3 linked regions of the Lepisosteus oculatus genome follow. The protein of the gene in region 3 purifies or fractionates together with the protein of the main gene of each other region. This does not show direct contact. Links are inferred from orthologs where the notes say so. Each region holds a gene or a part of one and is shown on either strand. Other genes may lie near its edges.

Evidence for each region. Proteins that work in one complex are often made in the same cells at the same time.
Region 1: the proteins of slx4 (region 3) and slx4ip purify together in Homo sapiens (affinity purification with mass spectrometry; 6 studies listed by BioGRID and IntAct, with this or other methods). This does not show direct contact. The link is inferred for Lepisosteus oculatus from reciprocal best matches to the Homo sapiens genes SLX4 and SLX4IP.
Region 2: the proteins of slx4 (region 3) and pgam5 purify together in Homo sapiens (affinity purification with mass spectrometry; 4 studies listed by BioGRID and IntAct, with this or other methods). This does not show direct contact. The link is inferred for Lepisosteus oculatus from reciprocal best matches to the Homo sapiens genes SLX4 and PGAM5.

Annotation. Positions count from the first base shown.
Region 1 is NC_090712.1:7,012,967-7,020,432, reverse strand, and holds the start of slx4ip (protein SLX4IP), read right to left. Parts: upstream 3,001-7,466; 5' UTR 2,917-3,000; coding exon 2,915-2,916; intron 1,466-2,914; coding exon 1,414-1,465; intron 1-1,413. Other genes in the region: molecular chaperone MKKS, read left to right, coding at 4,669-5,653, 5,873-6,054, 6,668-6,778, 7,253-7,466.
Region 2 is NC_090717.1:3,106,751-3,114,554, reverse strand, and holds the start of pgam5 (serine/threonine-protein phosphatase PGAM5, mitochondrial), read right to left. Parts: upstream 3,001-7,804; 5' UTR 2,715-3,000; coding exon 2,482-2,714; intron 1,084-2,481; coding exon 902-1,083; intron 88-901; coding exon 1-87. Other genes in the region: palmitoyltransferase ZDHHC8B, read left to right, coding at 4,920-5,023. UniProt on the Homo sapiens protein: Mitochondrial serine/threonine phosphatase that dephosphorylates various substrates and thus plays a role in different biological processes including cellular senescence or mitophagy. Modulates cellular senescence by regulating mitochondrial dynamics.
Region 3 is NC_090714.1:3,249,083-3,256,140, forward strand, and holds the start of slx4 (structure-specific endonuclease subunit SLX4), read right to left. Parts: upstream 3,071-7,058; 5' UTR 2,985-3,070; intron 2,955-2,984; exon of another isoform or gene 2,919-2,954; intron 2,908-2,918; exon of another isoform or gene 2,819-2,907; intron 2,263-2,818; 5' UTR 2,139-2,262; coding exon 1,847-2,138; intron 640-1,846; coding exon 499-639; intron 1-498. Other genes in the region: trap1 (heat shock protein 75 kDa, mitochondrial), read right to left, coding at 5,020-5,121, 6,102-6,174. UniProt on the Homo sapiens protein: Regulatory subunit that interacts with and increases the activity of different structure-specific endonucleases.

The DNA of each region.
Region 1 (7,466 bases), on a different chromosome or scaffold from region 3:
ATGTTTACACATCATGCATTCATAAGAAGAACTTAGAACCAAGTGTGTGCTTGTTTTATTACATAAAAGTTACAATAGGCCAGTTTCAACTGATAAAAACAACAAATATAAGATATAAGCTGACTGACTTATGCCCCTGATTATTCACCTGGGATGGCCAGCCCAAACGTACTGAAGTAAAAGTCAAGTGCACGGGAGTCAAGTGCACAGAGAATACGCCTCTGCCCCCTGCTGGAGGCTACCCAGTGAAGTCCCGTTCCCCCTGACTGCCCTCATCTCCCCTCAGGAACAGACAGCAGCTTCCGGTCCCGAGCTCAGCCGCTGCTGCTCAGGGAATCCCCCTGCCAGGCGCCCGGTGAGGAAACTGCACTATGCAGCCTTTACCCTCCATGATTTCATTTGGTCTCCACTTCTTCACAATTTCTGTAAAAGCTGCTGGCACACTATAATGTAGAGTGATGCCTAATAGGCATTTTTTCATATTAGCACAGAGATTGAAAATAAAATACACCTAAGAATGCTCCCTTATATTGCAATACAGTTTTTAAATACCCGAAGTACAAAGCCACAACAGAAATAACAAGCAGCTACCATTTAATAAGCCACTGCTAATTTCCTCAGAACTGATTGTTTTTATATCGGCAACATCTCAGCAATAGTTCCTACAGGCAACAACTATGGATTGTAAAAAAAAAAACATTTTCAGAGGAGACTTCCTTGTATATTTTTTTTATTTTTATTGATAAACTTAAAAAACTTTCCCAAACCATGAAAACCAAAGGTTCATTCATCACAGACACCTTTGTCTCTTAGCCAGTACATTTTCAGAAACAACGAAACAAAAGCAGGCTGCACAATCTCTTTGATCACATAAAGCCATTATGTAGTCTTCAGCACTGAAAAGGGTAACGCTCAGAATAATATTTCCTCAGCAATTCGCAGACTTGTTTATGTTGGACTGCATTCACGTCACAAACTGAAATGGCAGAGCCTAAATTGGCACACATGAAGAAAAGTTTTGAACCTTAGGGAAAACAAAAGTATCCCATAACTCTTTTTTTCCTTTTTTGTACAATTTTGCTGTACTGCTATATTGCTTTTACACTTCAGCCAAAATCAAAGATAATGGTAGATACATTACTGATGCAATAGAAATAGAAAATTAAGACTTATCTCACTTAGGACAAATGGACAAGATTTGTTTTGTGACAGCAGCCATTTGTTAAAACTGATAAATTACAAAAAAGAACAAAAAAGATAACAATAATGTTCCATGTCCCAACCTTTAACAATTTTTTTTTCATTTTGGCATTTTCTTAACAAGACAAATCCAGACTAAATCACATATGCATAAAAAAAACAGATAAAAAGTTAAAAACATAAAAAATATTATAAATTCCTTCATTTACATACCTTCACTACAAACTTGTTTGGGGACATTTTTTGCATGACATTCAGTGACAACCTGAAAAATAGCAAATAAAACATAGACATCGAAATATAAATTGAACACCTTTACTTTTACATTACTATGAGCAGGGCATGCAAAAAATTACATTTTGACAAATGACTTTCTGATTGTGCCCAAAGGTCATTTTCCCACACTCAGTAATGTCGTCACCTTCTATGACGCCCGATAGCAAAATTTATCTCAGAATTATAAAACATATTCATGCACTAAGCAATTCCTCCCAGCACTTTCTTGAAAAATATTTTATGGATGATATCATAAAAGAAACATGCCTAAATTGCAAAACCTGTCACTGAGTCATCGCTCAAAGTGATACACAACAATACAGACCTTAATTACCTTGCGGTTCTGGTATTTAATGGTTATGGGGAAAATATGATAGATTGCAGAATGTTATTCTGCATCCGTCCCACAGCTGTCAAACACAACAGCTGTTCAAAATCAGCAGGGGCAGAGATGATTGTACAAAAATGTATGGTACAAGAACTCCACACTGTTGCCCAAATCTTATAAAGAAAACTAAAGAATAAAATATGAAGGTAGTTCACAGTTATCATTTGGTGACTGATGCAGCTTTCTTTAAAAACAAAAAGCCAGCGGAAATAAAAACCCCAGAGCATATCACACGTAGCTTTGGGTTCTCGCACGCTACTGACACGTGTCTTTCCTTAGATCACGTTTTTATCTTTCAAATAAAAACTTACTGTGGAAAAGTGTTGCACCGTCAACACTGCAACTTAAAGGATACACACACACACTTCCTATTAAGTAAATCCAGAGATACATTTCAGATTATTTGCATTTTGCTTATGGTCTTATAGTTTAATATTTGATAACACAACTTTTGCAATGACAATAGTGATGTGTGCACAACTCTGGTCTCAAAATAATTTAAAAATGCTATTACCGATATAAATCCTTCTGTCCAATGTGTCTTAAAATTCTGCACCGTCAAAAAGCAACTTGAGAGTGCACGTATGAAAACAGTTATTGCGAACAATAAATACATGTTATGAGAAGGGTTTGCTTTTTAAAAAAACATCTAACGCTAATAAATCCTCGGTATTCCTGATAAATACGTTTATGTGTTAAAATGTAATTATACAGACAATATTCCATGTTCAAGTGAAATTTATTTTTAAAAAGCATTTGTTTCCAAACTAAATTTTAAAACAGTAATGAATATTAAGGCTCTTCGGGACGTGTGGGGCCGACAACCTAGTTGTATTAGGTAAAACGAGCAAGTACAGCTGCGATACTACACATAGTTACAGCGATTCCATTCCATCGTAAAATGTCAACAAGATTACAGTGCATAGAAATGTGTGGAAACAGCTGTGAACTATCACTATAGTAACAATACAAGCACCTTTTCTTTAAGAAATAGACATGCAATTTTATTTTAACAATGTTTTATAATGCATAGCTTCTGGTTTTCCTTACATGGAAACTGCGTTGTTGTTGTTGTTGTTTTTTTATCGAAGCCGCTACGTACCGAAAGCAGCACAAATGTTTCCACGTTCTCTTTCCGCCATCAGGTTTGAATACGGGTCACGTTGCGATGACAGAAGGACCCCCATAGGCGTCCTTGATGCCATAGAAACGATCGCTGAAACTGCAGAATTTGAAAACACTTGAAGACGTTTGCTTGTTATGGTAACTAAAAGAACAAAAATGGAAGAAAAAGACGTTTACACAGAGTGTGAAGTGTCATTAGATGCGACTAGTTTTTTGATTGAATGTGTATTTCAATGACAAACAATGAGTACTTAATACATGTTCATAGTTTGTATCTTATTATTCGTTACACTATAGTACCGTCTCTTATAGTGCAGTGCTTGGCGCTGAAACATCTTATATATTTGACAGGCATATATGTGGAAATTCGCAAATGAAAGGACCCAAAATGGCCGCCGTGTTTCTAACTGTAAGCTGCTGAAGGTGAGTCTTTTTTGTCACTTGTATTTGTAAGTCCTTACGAATATTTAAAATATTTTACTAGGTTTTGGTTTAATAATACTTGTTTACTACGGACGTTTTGTGTCTTGATTTTTCCAGTTATCAACCGTAGCTATGGTTCACTCTGTAGTCTTTCTATGAAATCAGTCATTATGCAAGTGATCATAGGGTAAAGAGTCATGAAGCTAACGTCACAAATTAAATGGTTCTTTGTTTTAAAACAGTCATGGTTTGACTTCACCATTTGCATGGAGATGTTTTTTATATTTTGTTTTATTTTTGTTTGGTTTCTTTAAACTGTGTTTTCATTTGTAGGTTCCAGCGTTACTATGGGACTAAGAAGTGCGTGGAAGAACTACAAAGTGCTTATAGTTATGGGCACGGGTCTTGGACTGGTACACTGGGGTTGGTACAGCATCAAGTCAAATCCTATCTTCCACAAGAAGGAGGACAGTTACATGCCAGAGCCCGGCGTGGTGTCCTATGTCTCCCAACAGCAAAGTCACCCAAAAGGAAAGCAGTAGAATACTGATCACAGGTATTGGGCTGTCATTTTTTAGCTCTGTGGCTCAAATGAAGATTCTAAAGTTTGGCCTGTGCCAGCCATTTCTCGTGCTGTAGGTAAATAGAATTGATGTTCATCTGCAATCTCATAGTGAATATTATAGAAGATGTAATGGCACAAAATAGAATTGCTTTGACTCAGGCAATGACCTATCTGGAGAAGCTATTTTTAAAAAAAATCTATTAAATATGGAAGTTCTCTATTGTATTTCTTAGTCTAACAATATGTGTAATTTTCCCTTTCATTTCAGGCAGAAATTAATCTCCAATTAATGACAAAAAGATCCCTCGTTAAAGGCTGCTAACATGAGCAATAGAAGTTGGTTGCAGAAGAACTGGCTGCTTGTGGCAGGACTTTCTTTTCTTGGTATTCACCTTGGGACATATCTATTGCAAAAGACTGTGAAAAGCTCGACTCGTTCGGATCTTGCATTGAAACAGAAGGATGTCAAGTAATGATGCCACAATCGGAAGAGCCAAACTAGACCATTATGTGCTGATCCTTGCTATTTAAGTTTAAATTAAAAAGGTTGTACTTTGAAATGGGTCTATAAATGAGGTCAGACATAAATAAATCTGCATGGCCTTTCTGTAAATTATCCACATGAAATAAAATGGCTTGGACTTTAAAAGAAATTCAAAGTCTTTAGTTTCTCTGATAGGCTAAAGCAAAGATGTCTCGTCTGTCAAATAAAAAGACCTCGCTCTGTACTGCTGAACCTTTATCAGATGATAAAGTGTGTCAGAAACTGGCAGTGTTCAGGCAGATCTTCACATCATGTTTTGGTCCTACCGGCAGACTCAAGCAAATACATAACAATGTGGGAGGGCATGTCCAGACCACATCTACGTCAGCAGTGCTTCTGAAAGGAGTTTTCACATCACACCCTGTCCTCAAGCTACTTACTGCATCTGTTCTGAACCATATTTCTTGCTTTAGCGATTGTGGTTTGTTTGCAGCTATCCTCTCCTGTGCCCTTATCGAAAATGCACAAAGATTAAATATTGAAACGGGCATTACCCTCAAAGTGTACAGGCATCTCCTATGCCTGTGTAAAGACTATCTGAATCAAGAGGAGTGTGGCTGTAGAGTAAGAATTGATTTTGGCAACAGTCAGTCTCTGCTGTCCCTGGCACGTAGTGTCATAGCTAGCAAACCGGCCTGCATGTTGACTTACAAAGAAGTGCAACACGTCAGCTCACTGGTGGTGCAGGCGTTCTTGCAGACAGTTCCCTGTGAGGCTGAGGGAAGTGTTTGTTTGGGGAAGGTGGTCTTCGTTTCTGTCGAAGGCCACAGAGCGATGGATTCAGCTCTGTTTCCTGGCCTGCTGGTAGAAATGCCAGAGATGCTGTCTGCTTCTGACCTGAAGTGGCTAGATCACAGAGCCATCACTCTGGCGCTGTTCAACACTTCGCTCTCGGGTGACCTTTCTGAGACGGGGGACGGAACGCTGGAAGTTAGTTGTGGCCTCAGCCCAGAAGCAGCCGTCCTGGAGCTGCTGCTGAGGATGGGGAAGCAGATCATCAGTGACGGTGTAGCGCTGCTTGCATGTCAGAAGGTGGTACATCCTGTCTTGAAGCAGTACCTGAAGGAGCATCATGTGATTGTCATAGAGAGGTTGGGGATTTCACTCATGGAACCACTAAGTCAAATGACAGGTGTGTAATTCACTTCCGATTATAAAGAGGAGAACATGGAAATAGCCCAGTCACTTCTGTAGAGTATAATTTAAAGTTTGTAGAATTGAATCATAGTTGCATTTTTTGTTGATTTGCAGAGTATTGTTTTCTCAAATATGATGGACATTGTTTTTAACTTTTAAAAATTTGAATATGACTGGCTCTTAATGATTTTAAATCCTTGTTCTTTTGAAATAGGTGCCCTACCTATTGCTAGTTTTCAGTCTCCTGTTCCATCCAAGTGCTATGGACAGCTGAGCAATATCCTTGTGAAGAGCTTTGGGTCTAGACAGATGCTTAATTTAATCCCAGCTGGAGATTCAACAGTCTGCAGTCTGGGGCTGTGCAACAGAAATGAGACTACCCTTAATGAGCTCAAGGTAGGCTGTATTAGATTATTTTAAGAACAGAAGATGTGTACAGTAATTGTTCCAAATCACTTCTTTTTTTACTAGAAGACATTTTGGTATCTGTCAAGACTATGAAGAATTCACGGTAGGTTTGAATGAGCAACAGATGGCAATAAATCACAACTCGGGTGTTTTAAAATATACATTTCTGTATAACATGTTGTTTACCCTACCTGCTTGTAATGCTTTTGAGAAGACTTTGAGTTAAAGGAATGGCAATGGCATTCTACCTTTTATCATGCTACATACATCATATTACTATCAAAAGCCATATTTGTTAAGATAATATAAATTCTGCCATTCATGACATGATATCTCCATGTTTTTGTATATTGGAGTACAGTAACTTGTACAGTCAGTACAGCAGGATGTACAGCAGCAAAGGTTACATGTTACTGATAACAGAAACTGTTGCTTTGCTTACATTCTCCAAATGCATATATTATATGCATTATACATATATTAAACTCAAAAGCACATTTTAGATTTCTTTAAATCTAGCATTTTACAGCAGTTCCCTTACTGTAAACTCATTAATATTTTTAATTCTGGGCTCTTATATCTAAATGGCTTTTTATTCCAGTTGACGTGCCAAAATGCAGAACATGTCTTGAGGCTATCACTGAAGAGTCCCTTTGCGCTTTTTGGTGGAGGGTGTACAGAAACACATTTGGCTGCCTACATCAGAAACAAGGTATGTATCTGGGGGAAAAACATTGTTGGAATGCTCAATAATTAAGAATGTACGTCCATCTGAGTGTCTGATTGTTCTCTCACATGGGATGTTGCGTTGTGCCTTGTTCAATTTCAGCTAGCTCAAGAAACCTCTGTTGATGTTGGAAAGATTTAGCAGGCTTCAAAATAAGCCTGAAATGTGAGCAGTGTGGCTGGGGAGTTGGATGCGATTCCCCCATTTCTTTTTGTTTAAAGCAGTGGACTCGGTTGTTTTTTAATGCTCTTTAGACCAGCTGTGTTTTGGAGACTGGTTAAATAAACACAGTCTCGGCTTTTTATGGAGAACCTTATTTTAAAAAAAGCCGGGACTAGATGCTTTACATTTTTGCCATCAGGACGGAAATGTGATATGTCTGATAAATGCATGCATCGTGAAGAACTCGCAGGGAGAAAAGAGCTCATTTTGAAATAGGTTCCCTAATGTCTCTTACAGTGCAGCAGTGGTGTCGATGGTACGTTACTGGGGCCTGGCTGCTCACCCACCCAGTTCCAGATGGCGGCTGACAGCTTCTGCCGAGCCCTGGAGTCAGTGGGCCGATCCCTGGAGCACGACGGAGGGGAATCCCTCGTGGACCTGCGCTGTGGCCATCGCTGGTCCGGGCCCGGCGGCGCTGCCCCCGATGTTCCGTGGAAGGACGTGGTCAGCC
Region 2 (7,804 bases), on a different chromosome or scaffold from region 3:
CTCGCATCATGGTAGAGTGGATGAGGACGTCGTACTTCAGACCCAGTTCGGCCAAACGCTGCCCAGTCAATTCTGCCTGCTGTCTACCTGCACAGTCCGATTAGAATACAGGATGGTAAAAAACATACTGTATATTCTCCCTTTATTACCATGCAGTTCACTCTGTTACAAGGACTTATACCCCCAATTCTGGAAAGCCAAATTCATCAGCAGAAACTAGTGTTCATAGTTGTAAATTAGAGGATTAAACTGCACACATTTGAACTCTCAAAATTCTATTGCTTTTGTTTTTAGTCTTGCAAAAGGCATGCCGGGCTTAAGCATAACAAATGTAGTGTAATAATGTAATGTAACAAAGCTTCTTTTTCAAGACATGTCTCATCAAGTCCCAGCAAGGGTGAGGCACGTCAGTCTCGACATTTTGAACATCCAAGGAAAACCAGGTTGTGGTTATAGGAGGTGTAGGTATGCCAGTAGGTGGCGCTATTCCCCCGGACCACAACACACCAGTATGGGGTGGTATGGTGGTGCTGGGGCCAGCCTTGCTACCTCATAGTGCTGGGGCCCCTGGTTCCATTCCAGACCTGGAGTGCTCACAGCATGGAGTTTGTAGGTATTTTCTGTGTTAGTGTGGGTTTCCTCCCACTGTCCGAAAACACACCGGTACGTTAATCGGCTTCTGGGAATATTGGCTCTGTGTGCGTGTCTGTGTCCGAGGCTGCCCTGTGACAGATGGCGTCCTGCCCAGGGTGTGCCCTGCCTTGGCCCACTGCTTGCTGGGACAGGCTCCGGCTCCCATGTGACCCGCAATCGGAAAAGCAGTTCGGCCCGGGGTGGCCGGATCACGCCCACCAGCCGCTCGGAGCTCAGCTGGGAGAGAGAAAGCCGCCAGTCAGCGTACCCAGAGCCGTCAGAGTCCTCTCCTTGTCCCCGCTGCCGTTCAGGTTGTACTGCGAGTGGCGGATCAGCAGGATGTGGCGCGTGGCCTTGGGCTTGTTGCTGTCCAGCTCTGCGGACAGGTCCCCGCTGCTGCCTTGCTTCTCCTCTTTCTTCCTCGTGTTCACGAGGGAGAGGGGCTCACGCCTGGTAGCGGACACACAAAAGAAAACACCCATTTTAGCAGCAGGAATTACACAGCAGTCGCTTGGAAGACACTCACTCCACCCATGTTCTCAGCGCTTCCTCCAGCTCAGGACTGCGGGGGGGCAGAGCCTATCCCAGCATGCAACAGGCACAGGGCGAGATACTCCCTGGATGGGACGCCAGTCCATCAGAAGGCACACACAGACACAGACAGACCTAGGGCCGGACGTCCCTGGAGCCAATTAACCAGCATGTTTCTGGACTGTGGGAGAACATGTGAATTGGCTTCATTACTCTGCTCTCCTCCCCACTGAGAGCTGGTGTGTGGTGAGCGTTCTGGCGCACTATGGCTGCCGTCGCATCATCCAGGTGGATGCTGCACATTGGTGGTGGTGGAGGGGAGTCCCCATTACCTGTAAAGCGCTTTGAGTGGAGTGTCCAGAAAAAGCGCTATATAGGTGTAAGCAATTATTATTATTATTATTATTATTATTATTATTATTAACATACAAACTCCACACAGATAGTGCCCCAGGTCCAGGACTGAACCCCCAGGGCACTGCCAGGCAGCAAAGCTGACCACTGAGTCTGAACAAACTCCGCTTCTGGCCTTCAATCTGGCATTTAAACTCCAGATCAGCAGAGAAAAAAAACAAGATTCTGTGGATAATTCCACTGCCACACATGGCTCTTTTAGAAGTATTTTCCATTGCTTTCTCCGTTTTCTATGTAACGTGATTTTTCTATATTTTTCCTAGCTAGAGACATCCACGATTAAAGATTAAAAAAAGATTAGACCAAGGAGCTGGAAGGCCTTGGGCTTGGGTATAAGTCCCAGTGGATGTATGCCCCATGTGGGATCGATTCCAGTCGCTGGTACTCATTAGATTTTAGGGTGTCACCATGCAGTTTTGATTAGGGCCCTGGACTCCCGACCGGAGCAACACGGGTTCAAGTCCAGGATGAAGGTGATGTTGTATCCTAGAGCAAAGTAGCTCACTCAAGATTGCTCCAGTAAACGGACGCTCTCGGCAGGTTACCGTTGTAAATGTGAATTTGTCCTCATGTGATGTGTATGTGGTTAATAAGAAATTGTGATTTTAATGATGTGCTTCTTTCGGTTTCAATACCGCTAGTGTTTCAAATGTAGGAAGTACTTTCAACTTGCGCACCGCAGTCAAACGTTTGTTTAAACAATAAGAAGTTCCATGTTTTAACTTTGTTTTTATACTTCTTTCTGTCTTCATTAAACTCTAGTTAAAGACGGTGAGACTTCTTAGAGCTTGGCCATAATTTACATCATGTCTGCAGAAGCCTTTCAAACGTTATAACCCCTCAATTCGACTAAACGTGAGCCGGCAATGGTAACTCGGCGCTTTAAAAAAAGAAAGGACGCACTTATCCCAGTTATGGTCCCAGGCGTTTCCACTCGGCGGCACGGTGTGTTGGTTCCCTGACGTCCAGGTCTGAGCAGCTTGAAGCACTGCCAAGCTCGTCCACTTTCTGGGGCTCTCCCGGGATCCCGCGTCCCCGAAAGTCCCCCGGGCATCCGCCGCCGCTGCCACCGCTACCAGCACCGCTGACCCGCCAGCGAGCCCGCACACCAGCCTGACAGCCCTCCTAAACGACATGCTGTCCGACACAACCCGGCCGCAGGTCTAAAAACAAATGGCGAAGACGCCAGACTGCTGTCGAGATCGAAACCTGATGCACTGTAGCAACAAAGGAACAGACTGACTAGCTGAGGATAAACCGGCTCGGGTCCACTGAGCGCAAACAGGTGATGAAATAAGTGAGAGGAGGAAAGCCCGGTAACAAACCTACACCCTAATCCTCAGAATAATCGAAACCAAGACATGAACTCGCACAACGTCTTAGGAAATAGAAAACCGGGTTGCAATACATGTGCCCGCTTCGGACAAACATACAGAAATACGAAACGCGAAATGGGTGGCGTTAAAAGAATGAAAGATGGTTTTGATACTGAGAATTCGTAACAGTCTAGGTATTTTCTATACAAAAGATGTTTTATTCTGCAGTCAGATTGTGGTGAAAAACCTGTCATAGGTTTTTAAGGATGCGATTTAGACATAGAATAACCGAGACAGAAGAGCCACATTTTCTGTTAAACTCTTCACTATAACGTGAACCTGCCACAATTTTCCTTCTATTCAGTTACTACTCAAGACACGAGAGAGGCTGACACCAGGTATTAGAACTACACAATCAGTCTTACACAAGTCACCAGTGTGTATACCCTTGGATTCACGAGTTTAGCCATTTTCCAAATCCTCGTCTATTTTCTTTCCACTGGACAGTTTAAGAATGCACATATCTCTCAGACTATATGATCAAATGCCACACGCCTCTCTCCCTCCACGTATCTGTAACAGCATCTATGTACACATATCTTTTGGCCCCTGGTTTCCTTTCCACCCTGGACTCTTATTACAATCAGGTCATTAAAAGGTTCACCTAATTGTATTAATACTAATCTGTATTACCACTGTTTTCCAAGAATTGACCAGTTGGTTGCCTATAAGACCTAACAGTCTGCGGGACCATCAGGAATTATCACTGCACTAGGACAAAACATTGTCTTTGGTAATCGTCGAAACGTGTTTATTTTCGCTTAAATGCTTAACCTACACACCTCATATTCAAAAAAGACTTATTTTAATGTTTTTGGTTGTGTATGACATCATTTTGTAATGCTGCTTGTTTATTGGACAGGACTCCGCTGTATCAGGTCAGTGGGTGTTTCTTACGTGTTACTTTACTGTGACTTTTAACTCTTCTATAACTAAATAAAACATTCATCTTTAGTTCAAATATGTTGCTCAGCAGTAGCTTTTAGACTTTCCGCGAATTCAATTACTATTGTTATTTTCATTTTGAACGCTAGGGGGCGCATGAGGCATACAATGGACCGAGGGAACGTACTGTATGAGCTCGAACATCTTCATATATCTTTAGTGCGGTTTGCTACGTGTTTGACACAATCTATCAAATATGCTCATTCAGCTTTGATAATAAATAAAGAAGGGTGATTTTTCCTCGCGGTTACAAAGAGCGACACCGTGAGCTTATAGAATATCGGGAATATTTCTAACGATATGTCAACTCTTAAAAATGACAGGTGAAAGTTTTTTTTCTTAGATGTACAATGTTTAAATATGGGCATGGAGTGCTAGGAAGCACAGCACAACGCGGTAAGTCATGCCAAGTGAGAGGAAACAATGATATAACCGTAAGACACTTGTCATTTTATACTTAAATAGTCTCAAGACCAAGGTTTATACTTGAAAACTGATCTCCGACGGGGCTTTAAAAGCACACACACACACACTTTTAATAATACCATCAGCAGGAGAAGGCTGATGCAGACGCACAGCGTTGAGCGTGTAACGCGGCACCACGTGAGTCTGCTCGATTTAAATGTCATGCACTTTCCGATGCAAAGCCGGGCACCGCCACGAAATCTTCACAAAGACGGATACAGCTCTCGCAAGGCAGCGGCATATATTATGTATGCTAATGTGAAGATCTGTGGCCGTGGTCTCAGACGCCCTTTTCTACGTGAAAGCTCCACCTTACAGCGGTGTTCTGACCTCAGCGGTGGGCTGGATCACAAGGGAGGGATTTTCAGGCTTGTGCTGGTGTGGGGAGCCGTATTTCTGTCTATCTTTGGATCTGAGTGTGTATTTTACATTAGCAGCAGGAAGGGGGGGGGGAGACGGGTTTGCCTAAATAGCCCCGTCTGCAGACATCGCATTGGATCTCCGTATTTGCGTCTCCGATTGGAATAAATAATTAAGGAATGTGGAAACTACAGAATGCCCAACAGCACTGCAAAGAGATTTAAACCCACCAAATACATCCCGGTGTCTACTGCAGCTACTCTTCTCGTGGGCTCCACTACTTTATTCTTCGTTTTCACGTAAGTTTTGAGAAGGTTTCCGCAGATCCGTGCGTGTCTTCGCAAGCTCGTTAAAGTGATGGGGAGCTTTGAATGAGAAGCCCTCGCCGGTTCTGCTTTGCTGTTTACAGTGAGCATTATCGCAGCGAGCCGGTAGTTGCACTGGATGAATGAGGGGTTATTTTTCTCGAGATCAAGCCAGGCCTTAGTGATTCTGGCACACTTGTGTTACTTGTATTTCTTAAATTATTCCTGGAGTGTCATAAGTGTATCACGCCTTGGGCTAGCTGGAGAGAACTGATTTTCTCCCGTGGACGGCGCAATTGTTTCTCTAAAAAACGTTTTATAAGTTGTTTATTTTGCATTTTTGTTTGTAAACTTACTAGATTGAGGCAATAACTAAGGTGTTTGATGATATGGACAGCTCGTCTGAATCGAGTTAACGCTAACTTGCGAAACTTTGTAGCTAGTTCCACTTGGAGCTCGTTAACAGAAATAGCATAGCACCAATTGTGGTACACGGATGAAACCACAGATTTTATGAAAAGAAAAATACTGATCACGGAGCTGCTCTAGGCCGCGACTTCCCAAGGTCCTCTTCGATAGTAGCAGTAAATTAGTAAAAAAAAAGGTCGGTTTCACACAATGCATTTTTTTAATCGTGAAACGTAATGGATTATTGTGAGCTACTCAGCAGAACAAGAAGAGAGTCTAGAGATGCCATAGCCGTTGCAAGACTTTTCGTTGCCTGGAAATTAGTTTCATTTGCATGTGCTGGGCACCACGGCATCTAGGATCTGCCGGATTTCTGCTGTGAACCAGGAGCTGTTTAATGTTGCCGGGGCAGCGACTGGTCAGGATATTCCGGGCGACTATTTTCTCGGCTCCCGATTCATTTGGATTAGGACAAGTGCCCACTAATGCTAGTTAATTGGTCTTCTTTGAAGGATTGAGGCACACCGGTTATCAAGAGACCGGGAAGTTGTTAACGATGCTGCTGTTGATCCGGTTGTTGGGGATGTGTCCGGATTTTTACAATCATATGTATTTTTGGTGTAATAGATTTTATATGTGGTGCAGTGGTTAACATTGCAACCTCTCAGTGCTGGGGTCCCAGGGTTCAATTCCGGACCTGGGGTGGTGTCTGTATGGTCTTCTCATGTTCACGTGGGTTTCCTCCCACAGTCCAGAATCATACTGAGAAGTTAATTGGCGTCTGGGGGAAACTGTCCCTAGGTGTGTGTGCCTTGTGATGGACTCATGTCAACTGACAAGGCAACAGTGAGAGCGCTGGGAATGTCAGTTGCGTTTTACTGATATAGAAAACATTTATACGTTACATTTATGGGTATCCATCTTTGTGCAAAGCTATAGATCAAATATTCAGTTGCATTTTGCCTGCTTAACTATGTGAAAACATGATATTTTCTTCTGAGTTTTTAAGCTCTTGTAAGAATCTCACCACATCCGTCTGTGCTCTTGTAATGAGATTGGTTGATCTCTGTGATGCTTCCTACATCACATGTGGCGGTGAGTTCTTGTCTTGTCGCCTGCACTAGCCAGGTGTCGGAGGCTCTGCAACGCTGGCAGTGTCAGTATTGGGATGAGAGACCTCCAAGGACAACCAGGTTGCTGCTGTAAGTGATGCTGGTGGACCAGTAGGTGGCACTCTTTCCTCTGGGCCAGAATTTCCAAACCAGTGCCCCAGTATGACAATAAGGGACACTGTGCTGTGCAGCTGCTTTCCTTTGGATGAGATGTTGAAAGTGAGGTCTTGACTGCTCTGGTCATTAGCAATCCCATGACACTATTGGAAAGTGTTGGGGTGTTAACACCGAGATAAGATAAGATCACTTTATTAGCCATATACAATTTCTTGCATTAGGAATTTGTCTTTTCGCGTACCCCAGCTTGTTCTCCATGAGACGCACAGACAGGAAGAGAGAAGCTTGGGGTCAGAGCGCAGGGTCAGCCATTTATACGGTGCCCCTGGAGCAAGTGGGGTTAAAGGCTTTGCTCCGGGGCCCAACGGAGTAGGATTCCTCTGCTGGCCACGGGATTTGAACCAGCAACCTTCCAGCCATGGGCACAGCTGCCCCGATATCTGATAGCCTGATTAATGTCTGCTCTGGGCCTGCACAATCTGGCCTCCCTCTAGCTCTCCTTAATTCAGTTAGGTTAATGTGGTGAAGCAGTTTCTCACTCCTCCGCCCAATCTGCTGGTCTAGAATGGCTGCTGTGTGATATTCAGCTATAGTTAAAGTGGATCCCATCCTTTATAAAAAGTGCTGTGGGATCATTTGAGAGGAAAGGCGCTATTTTAATACATTGTCTAACTTTTACAACTGATGGGTCAGATAACTGTAACTTTCAGGTGTATAGTTTGAAAGAAGTCACTGCAATGGAACGCCTTGTGTGGCTGCTTTTTAATCATTGTGAGATGCTGATCAGAAATTATGATCCAGATAAAGTGAGAAGAAATAATTTTCAAAGGGTGTTGTGTTTTCCTCGACTTGTTTCTATTGGACAGATGAACAAATTGAAGTGAACTCAAACCTGGAAAGTCTTTTTTATCTGCAAATCAGGCCATTTTGTTACTCCTTTTCTGAGCCTCTACAGCATGGGGTGTGTCTGGGGGGGTCGTCCGTAGATGGAGAGCATTTTTTGAGTTGTGGGGATGAATTTTATCCACAAGATCTAATGACAATGAAAAGAAAAAGAAATGCAATTACAGTAAGAACAATGACTTCACCTCTCACTGGCCTGTCTGCAAATTGGAAGCAACTCTAATATGTGTGTATA
Region 3 (7,058 bases):
TTCACAAAGCCGAAGAAAAATATATACACGTTGAAATCTGACAAAACTCCTGGAAATCTAGCAATTTACCTCACCGTCACCTGGAGTGTTTTCACACTCCGTGAAAACAGTGTGGAAAAGCCAAGATGGACATAAAAAACACACATGAGAACAGGCAACCAATATAAAAAGATAAAATGAAATATGCTAAAAGAATACGAGATCTGCATTTCTGAATAGTTCTGATAGGGTGACCTGTAACGGTGATTTTCTGGTGAAGACATCAGTGAAAACCTGTGGCCCTGATGAAAAATGAAGCGCTTTTGACTTTAATAGTTGGAGGTGTTTGGAACCACCTACCCACGACATTTCGGAAACCTTTCAAATTCTTACAGAGTCCTTGCTATGAGCGATACACAAGACTTTCACGCTTTTCTTAAGGGTGAAATGTGTCCGGTCCGAGGACCGAAGGTGACCGTGGGGATTTAAAGCCCTGGAGGTTCAGGAGCCCAGTCTGACCTGGTCCCGAAGCTGTCGTGTGGCGGTCCCGCCCCGTGCCCAGGTCCGTGTGCGTCAGTCTCTCTGGGCTCAGTCTCTTAAACCGCTGCAGGCGCCGCACCACCTTCTCCTTCACGCCCATCCTCCCTGGGCCCTGGACACCTGGAGAGCGCGACAGGTGAGCACTGAGGACTGCAGACCCCTGCTCCATCCCTTCACAAGCAGACGGATGCAGAATCGTTTGGCAGGATGGCTGGGCTTGACATTTGATGCATGCAAGTGCAGGGTTCTACCTGCAGGTGAAGTGTAATATAAAGCAACACTGAGCTTCAAGAGCCTATCAAAGAGACACTTATCCATCCATCTTCGAAGCAGTTTATCCAATTCGGGGTCACAGGGGAGCAAGCATCGGGCACAAGGCAGGGTACACCCTGGACGCAGTGGCAGTCCAGCACAGGGCACACACTGACAAACACACACACACACTTACACCAGGGCCTGTTTTCCCAGAAGCCAATGAACCTACCAGTAAGTCACTGGACTGTGGGAGGAAACCAGAGAGAACATACCAACCCCATGCAGATAGTGGCCCGGGAATTGAACCCAGGGCCCCAGTGCTCTGAGAAAGCATTGCTAACGACTGTGCCACCCATGTCTTACTTTATTATTAATATTACTATTGTAGAACATTCGAGGAAAAAGGTGAACAGGGTGTCAGGCTATATAGATGAAAAGTGCAGAATGGAAACTACAGGATGTTATTTATAACAGCTCATAATGAACAACTGCAGTGGGCACATTACAAAAAAAAGTGCAGCTCTGGAATCAGTGCAGAGAAGAGAGAAAATCCTGGGATTCAAGTACAGTCACACTCTGACAAGCTTCAGGAACTCAACTGCTGTAGTCTTTAACAGAGAAGACAGCAGTATGACCCATCAGACTTCTTTAGATCCAACAGTGAAATACAAGTGACAAGCAGAAACGGCAAGTACAGAAAGTGGAGTCGTGACTCAGGACAGGAGGCTTTTCTACACCACGAGTTGTAGGAGTGTGGAACAAGCTCAGCTGTGCTGTTGACGCCAACACCTGGGCTTCTCAATGAGATCCTTGAGTCACTTAGCCAGGAGCAACCAAGCAAGCCATATGGCGTCTACGCCTTCCACTGACTTTTCATTTCTCTTATGGTATCACTGAACCAAACACTGGAAGCCAACTACAATGTGCAGAAAAGCTCAGGGAGCAGTTTCAAGGAAACATTCAAAACAAGGCCAACGGTCAGTACATGACATGCAGGCGGCAGATTTGAATGCTGGACACGGAAACGACGAGGGGGGCAGAGCGAAGGCGGGGGTATGCGGTCTTCTCCTACCTCGGGGCGAGGCTTCGCCGACGCTGACCCCCGGAGGGGCGCCAGAGGGGTCACTCTCCGGGGCTGGGCCCACCGCAGGGGGCACGGCGGCCTGGGACGCGCGGCCTGAGCCGCACCCCTTCCTCTTCGAGCCCGGGTCGGGCCCCCTCCTACCCCCGGCTCCTCTCCTCAGCCTGCCCCGAGCTCTCGGAGCCCCGATGTCCCTCCGGTGGCCATCCTCCCCCTCCGCCTTTTTCACCCGTCTCAGCACCTTGGTGCAGAGCTCGGTGAAATCCTCATCTGAGTCTTCCATCCGTCTCCCCCGAATCCCAGCCCCTTCCAGCCGGGGGCGTCTAAGGGCCCCTCGCTTCACACCCCATGTTTAAGGCTCATCCACAGCGGACACTAGCCCACTGAACGCCCCCTGTCGCCAAACACTGTGGAAACAGCAAACAAAACTCCATCAGCTCCCGGTGAGAGGAAAATCAAGGGAGAGCAACGGCAAGAAGTCTAAATCACAGCCCTGAGTTTTGCCATTTTATTTGATCTGATCATATTCTAGTTTGCAGACAGAATGACAGAAAAGTGCAAAAAAAATTACAATACAGTATCGGGAGATAAAGCAGTAACAATACAAAAGGATACGCAAAGAGCACGGGGTGAAATCAGAGCCCAATGCACCCGTCCTCTTACGTTACAAAAACGATCATTTTTTACAGCACATGTCCGTTGTCATGCGCCAAACTACAGTTTTTAACACATTTTACGTCCTGATTTTTCAGAGATCGAACTTTTAGTTTAAATTCCTAAATACATCAGTTCGTCATACGATGAACGAGTACAGAAATGCGCCTGTCTTCAATGTAGCATCTTCTGAAGCATGCACTGTAACCACTTATGCACAACTTGTCTAAATTATTTGAAGATATAAATTGCATTAAAATAATTTGAATGTAATTGGTGCACTTGGTGCAAAACCGCTAAGAGATTTACATTGTGATAACTCCAGCTAATGAACCACAAATAAAAACATTTCTCGACGTCTTGCGAGCAAATCAGAACCCGAATCTGAGTTCTATGCCTTCACGTTTACCAGATCATATGGATTTCATTTATTTTTTTAGGTGTTGTTTTAAAATATGACACAATTCAAACTCACACAGAACCCGCTGGGCTTTGTACTTCCTGTCACATGCCCACCGCCGTACCGTCCACGTCACATGACAAACCTCAACTCACATGATATCCCCACTGGGCGTCACAGAGAAAGTATTTTGCACGTAATCCTTTGCGGGTTTTTAACAGAATAGTTCTAAGCTATTCTATTTTATAGAAAGGTGCAACATTTACGTTTGCACGAAAATGTATGCTTTTGGCTTAAGTATCATTCAAAACATTTTTGTGCTGTACCTAATCGAACCTACATTTCATTCTCCCATAAATGTCTTGAATTGTTTGGTATGATGGCTTTCGTCATGTTGTTAACCCGTTATATGTTAACCTCGGCCAGTGATTCCCATACACGTGCTAGACAGGGTTCAGATCCAGACTTTGGTGAATGAGGACTTTTTTATTGGAGTCTTTTTTGGTTTCCTGGTGAACATACCAATGCTAGCTTCTTACAATGCAACTGTAGTGCTACAGGGCCCTCTTACCTTGGGTCTGGCCAGCCAGAATGCACTTTCTACACATTGCACTCTACGAAGGCGGGTATTATGAAGTGGAGGAGCTCATCGACTACTCACTCTATCCCAGCCCTTGTGGAAGCTGACTCCCCTGTGATTCTTTAACATGCCTCATGCAGAGGGTCTGGAATTAGTACTGCAGCAATCTTCCCTGATCCCTATGGACATGTAGGCGAGCAGAGGCACAGGCTCAGGGTTTCGTCTCCTTTACTGATCGATGCAGGTGTGTGTGCTGATCACAGGGAGAGAAGAGAACAAGGAAAAGGTGTCCCTAAGGTACAGAGAAAAGGAAACATCTTTCCTTTGTATAGGGGGAGAGAAACAGGGAGATCTGAGTGAAGATGAAATGCACAGTCTGCCCAAAGATTTCAGATGCTGTGTGCAGGTAAACACCATTTCCTTTGCTACTGTTGTTAATTCCGCTCTAGAGCCAGCATCTACAACCCTTTTCCTAGAAAGCTGCAATCCAATTTCTAGACTGGATTGATTAGATCGGTGATCTGTTAATTTACAGACAATTTGGAGCAAACAAACTTCAGTCGTCAGGGACCAACCTGCTTTTAACTAAACAAAGAACATGCATGCGTCATTAATAACTTAAAAGTGTTTCCAATCCTCAAAAATAAAAAAGTTAGAATGCTCTATAAAATCATGAATGACTAGGGCACTCCACAACTAGTGTTGAAGAGACCTGCTTTAGGGTTTTCCACTAATGGTTTTAAAATCTTTCAGAATCTAAATATGGAGCAGAACATATTTAGACAGCCTTCAGAAACATTCGCAAAAAGTATTGAAGCCTCTTTATTACCAACTACATTTTTGAATGTTAGAATTCACAGCTACCCAATAAAAACGAAAGGCTGAAAGAACACAGACATTCCAGGCTAATGAACACGTAGGTTTGTCTGCGTCCTTTATCATTCCCAACTAAACTCTTAACAGAAGAATGCAGGGATTTTATTGAGACAATATCCAATTTCACCCCTTTCACATCTGCTGACCCTTTCATCACAGTCACTAACAGTTAAGCACAAACATACAACAAGTGCGAGTAGATGGTTCAGGGGGCACAGATCAGCTCACAACAGCACTGCCTGAATATAGTAGGTTAGGAAGATAAAGGACCTGCTTCATACCCAGGAAAAATCATTTGATGTCGGCCCTAATGAATATTCTCCATGCAAGGAATTACTTTGAAAATGAAGAAAGAGGATTCGAATGAGTCTTTTCTGAAGATGCTTCCTCACTACTGCGATATTGAATTTAAAGTGAAGATCCATTGGAGCCCACTTCTCGATCTCTGCTGTAATGGCCTCTTCTATGGGGTTACTGTAAACGTCCTCTTAGGGCAAGGCTGCAAGACCAAAAGTTATCAGAGTCGATCTCTTGCTCCAGCCCCAGAAATCCTGGATGAAACGTCCAGTCCTTGCACTGATTCCAGGCCCTGCTGCCTCCTGATGCAGCCTGGCAGCCTGGCAGCCTGTGTTCGGCGCTGGCGGGTCCGAAGGGTCAGTGCTTCTCCAGAGCTCGGGTCAGCAGCTCGTTGAGGCGGCCGATCATGGGGCGGGGGTCGTCGTTGAGTCCTGCCGCGATCATGGCGTTGTCGTAGATCTGCAAGGAGAGACACTGCGCTGAGGGACAACTTGTTGTGCTGGAAGAAACAAACAGCTGTGACAAAGACATAAAATGGCCAGGATATAAAGTGTAAAGGGGATGGCATGGTGGCGTTGTGATCAGCACTGCAGCCTCAGGGAGCTGGGGCCCTGAATTCAATCGTGGGCCTGGGGTGCTGTCTGTGTGGCGTTTGTACGTTCTCCTCGGGATCGTGTGCGTTTTGTCCAGGTGCTCCGGTATCCTCCCACAGTCTAAATGTCACGCCCAGTACACTATAGAGGGTGCTCTACTTCTCTCCTGTTCCTGGTGCCCTGTGATTATTCATGTCTTTCCGGTGTTCGTTGTTGTGTAGCCTATTTACTTCCTGCTTCTGCTCTGCTCCTTCGCACCGGCCTAGCGCCAAGTCACTCCTGTCCGTGGCCTGAGGGCATAGGTTCATTTCCTGAACAGCTGAGCTCGGGCTAACCCCCGTCTCGCCGCTACGCATAGGGTCTTTATCGCTCTCCTGCCATTCCACGGTTTGTCCCTTCTGACATCCGTGATACGAAAGACATGATGGGAAAACCGGTTTGTTTGTGTCTGGGTGTGCCCTGTGATGGACTGGCATCCTGTCCAAGAGCATACCCTGCCTTGCGCCTGTTGCTCGCTCCGGTTCCCATGCCATCCTGAATCAGATGAAGCAGGAAGAGAACGGATGGATGGATAAAGCACAAAACAGACGTTCAAACTCCTCCGATTTGGAACACTGACCTAGTGCATGGGTTCCCAGTCCTAGCCCCTGGAGGCCAACACACCCCAACCCCACGTCCTTCGCTAATTAGAACTACCAAGTTGTTTAATCAAAACATCTGCATCCCTTTGCTGATTCTGGGCCACTCGGGAGCTGGGGATTTTAAAGCTGGACTGAGCACTGTCTCCAGCTCCACAGGCTCGACTCCACTCCGCTCTGCGGTGCTCAGACATCACAGCAGCCTTACCTGCTCCAGCAGTAACTGCGCCAGATCGGGGTTCGAGTCCTTCAGCTCATTCAGCTTCTTGATGAGGTCGTGCCTGATGGAGAGAATAATTGTTTACAGCTCATTTGGGGAGACAGAAGTATACCTGTGGTTTTGGGCATGCCTCCAGGATCTGAGGTACTTTTCCTCATCTTTCGGCATCTCTGTGAATATTCTGCTTCAGCCCCTCTTTTCAGTAGTCAAGGCGTCTGTGTAAATCTGATTGAAGGCAACCAACTGGCTTTAACTTGGATCCAGAAATGGATTTGTGCAATTTAATAATGTGACATTTTAAGAAAGCTAAAGGGTGTTGTTCTCAAAGGACTTGAATATTAAAACATTTATAAAGATCAGGGAAAGGAAGACAGCCGGCAAATTTGTTTTTAATTTTTGAGGACTGCAACGTTTGTTAAAATAATCCTAAAAAAGTTTCCAGAAATTCCAGCCACAACGGCTACATGCAGCAGAAATCAGCTTGCATCTTAAAACCTTAAAAACTTAAAAGTTTTCAAACTCAGACAAAGGCCTCAACTGAAGTAGGACATATTACATCGAACACGTACTCCAGGTGACAATACTGCTGCCTTATCCCACTGTGGAAGGTAACGGAGTAATTTGGAATCTGTTAACCTAGTCTTCTGCCGCCTATACGAAAAAGTACGTCAAAGGAAGAGAAAACTGAGTTCTATTAACTGCTGCAGAAATGAATTTCTGTAAAAAGTGAAAAAAGCAGAAGCAAGAAACTTCAAACTTCAGGACAAAACCCCTAAGATGTGAAGTGAACCTCTGTCATGTATCACATGTACCTATACTGCATATAAGAGCTGGGGGAACCTTTGCAGCCTGTCCCCTTGCTCGTCACAATTCCCACAACTACTTTTGTTTTGTTGCACCCACACTATGCACCTGCTACACTCACAATCAGCCTGGCAGTAGAGC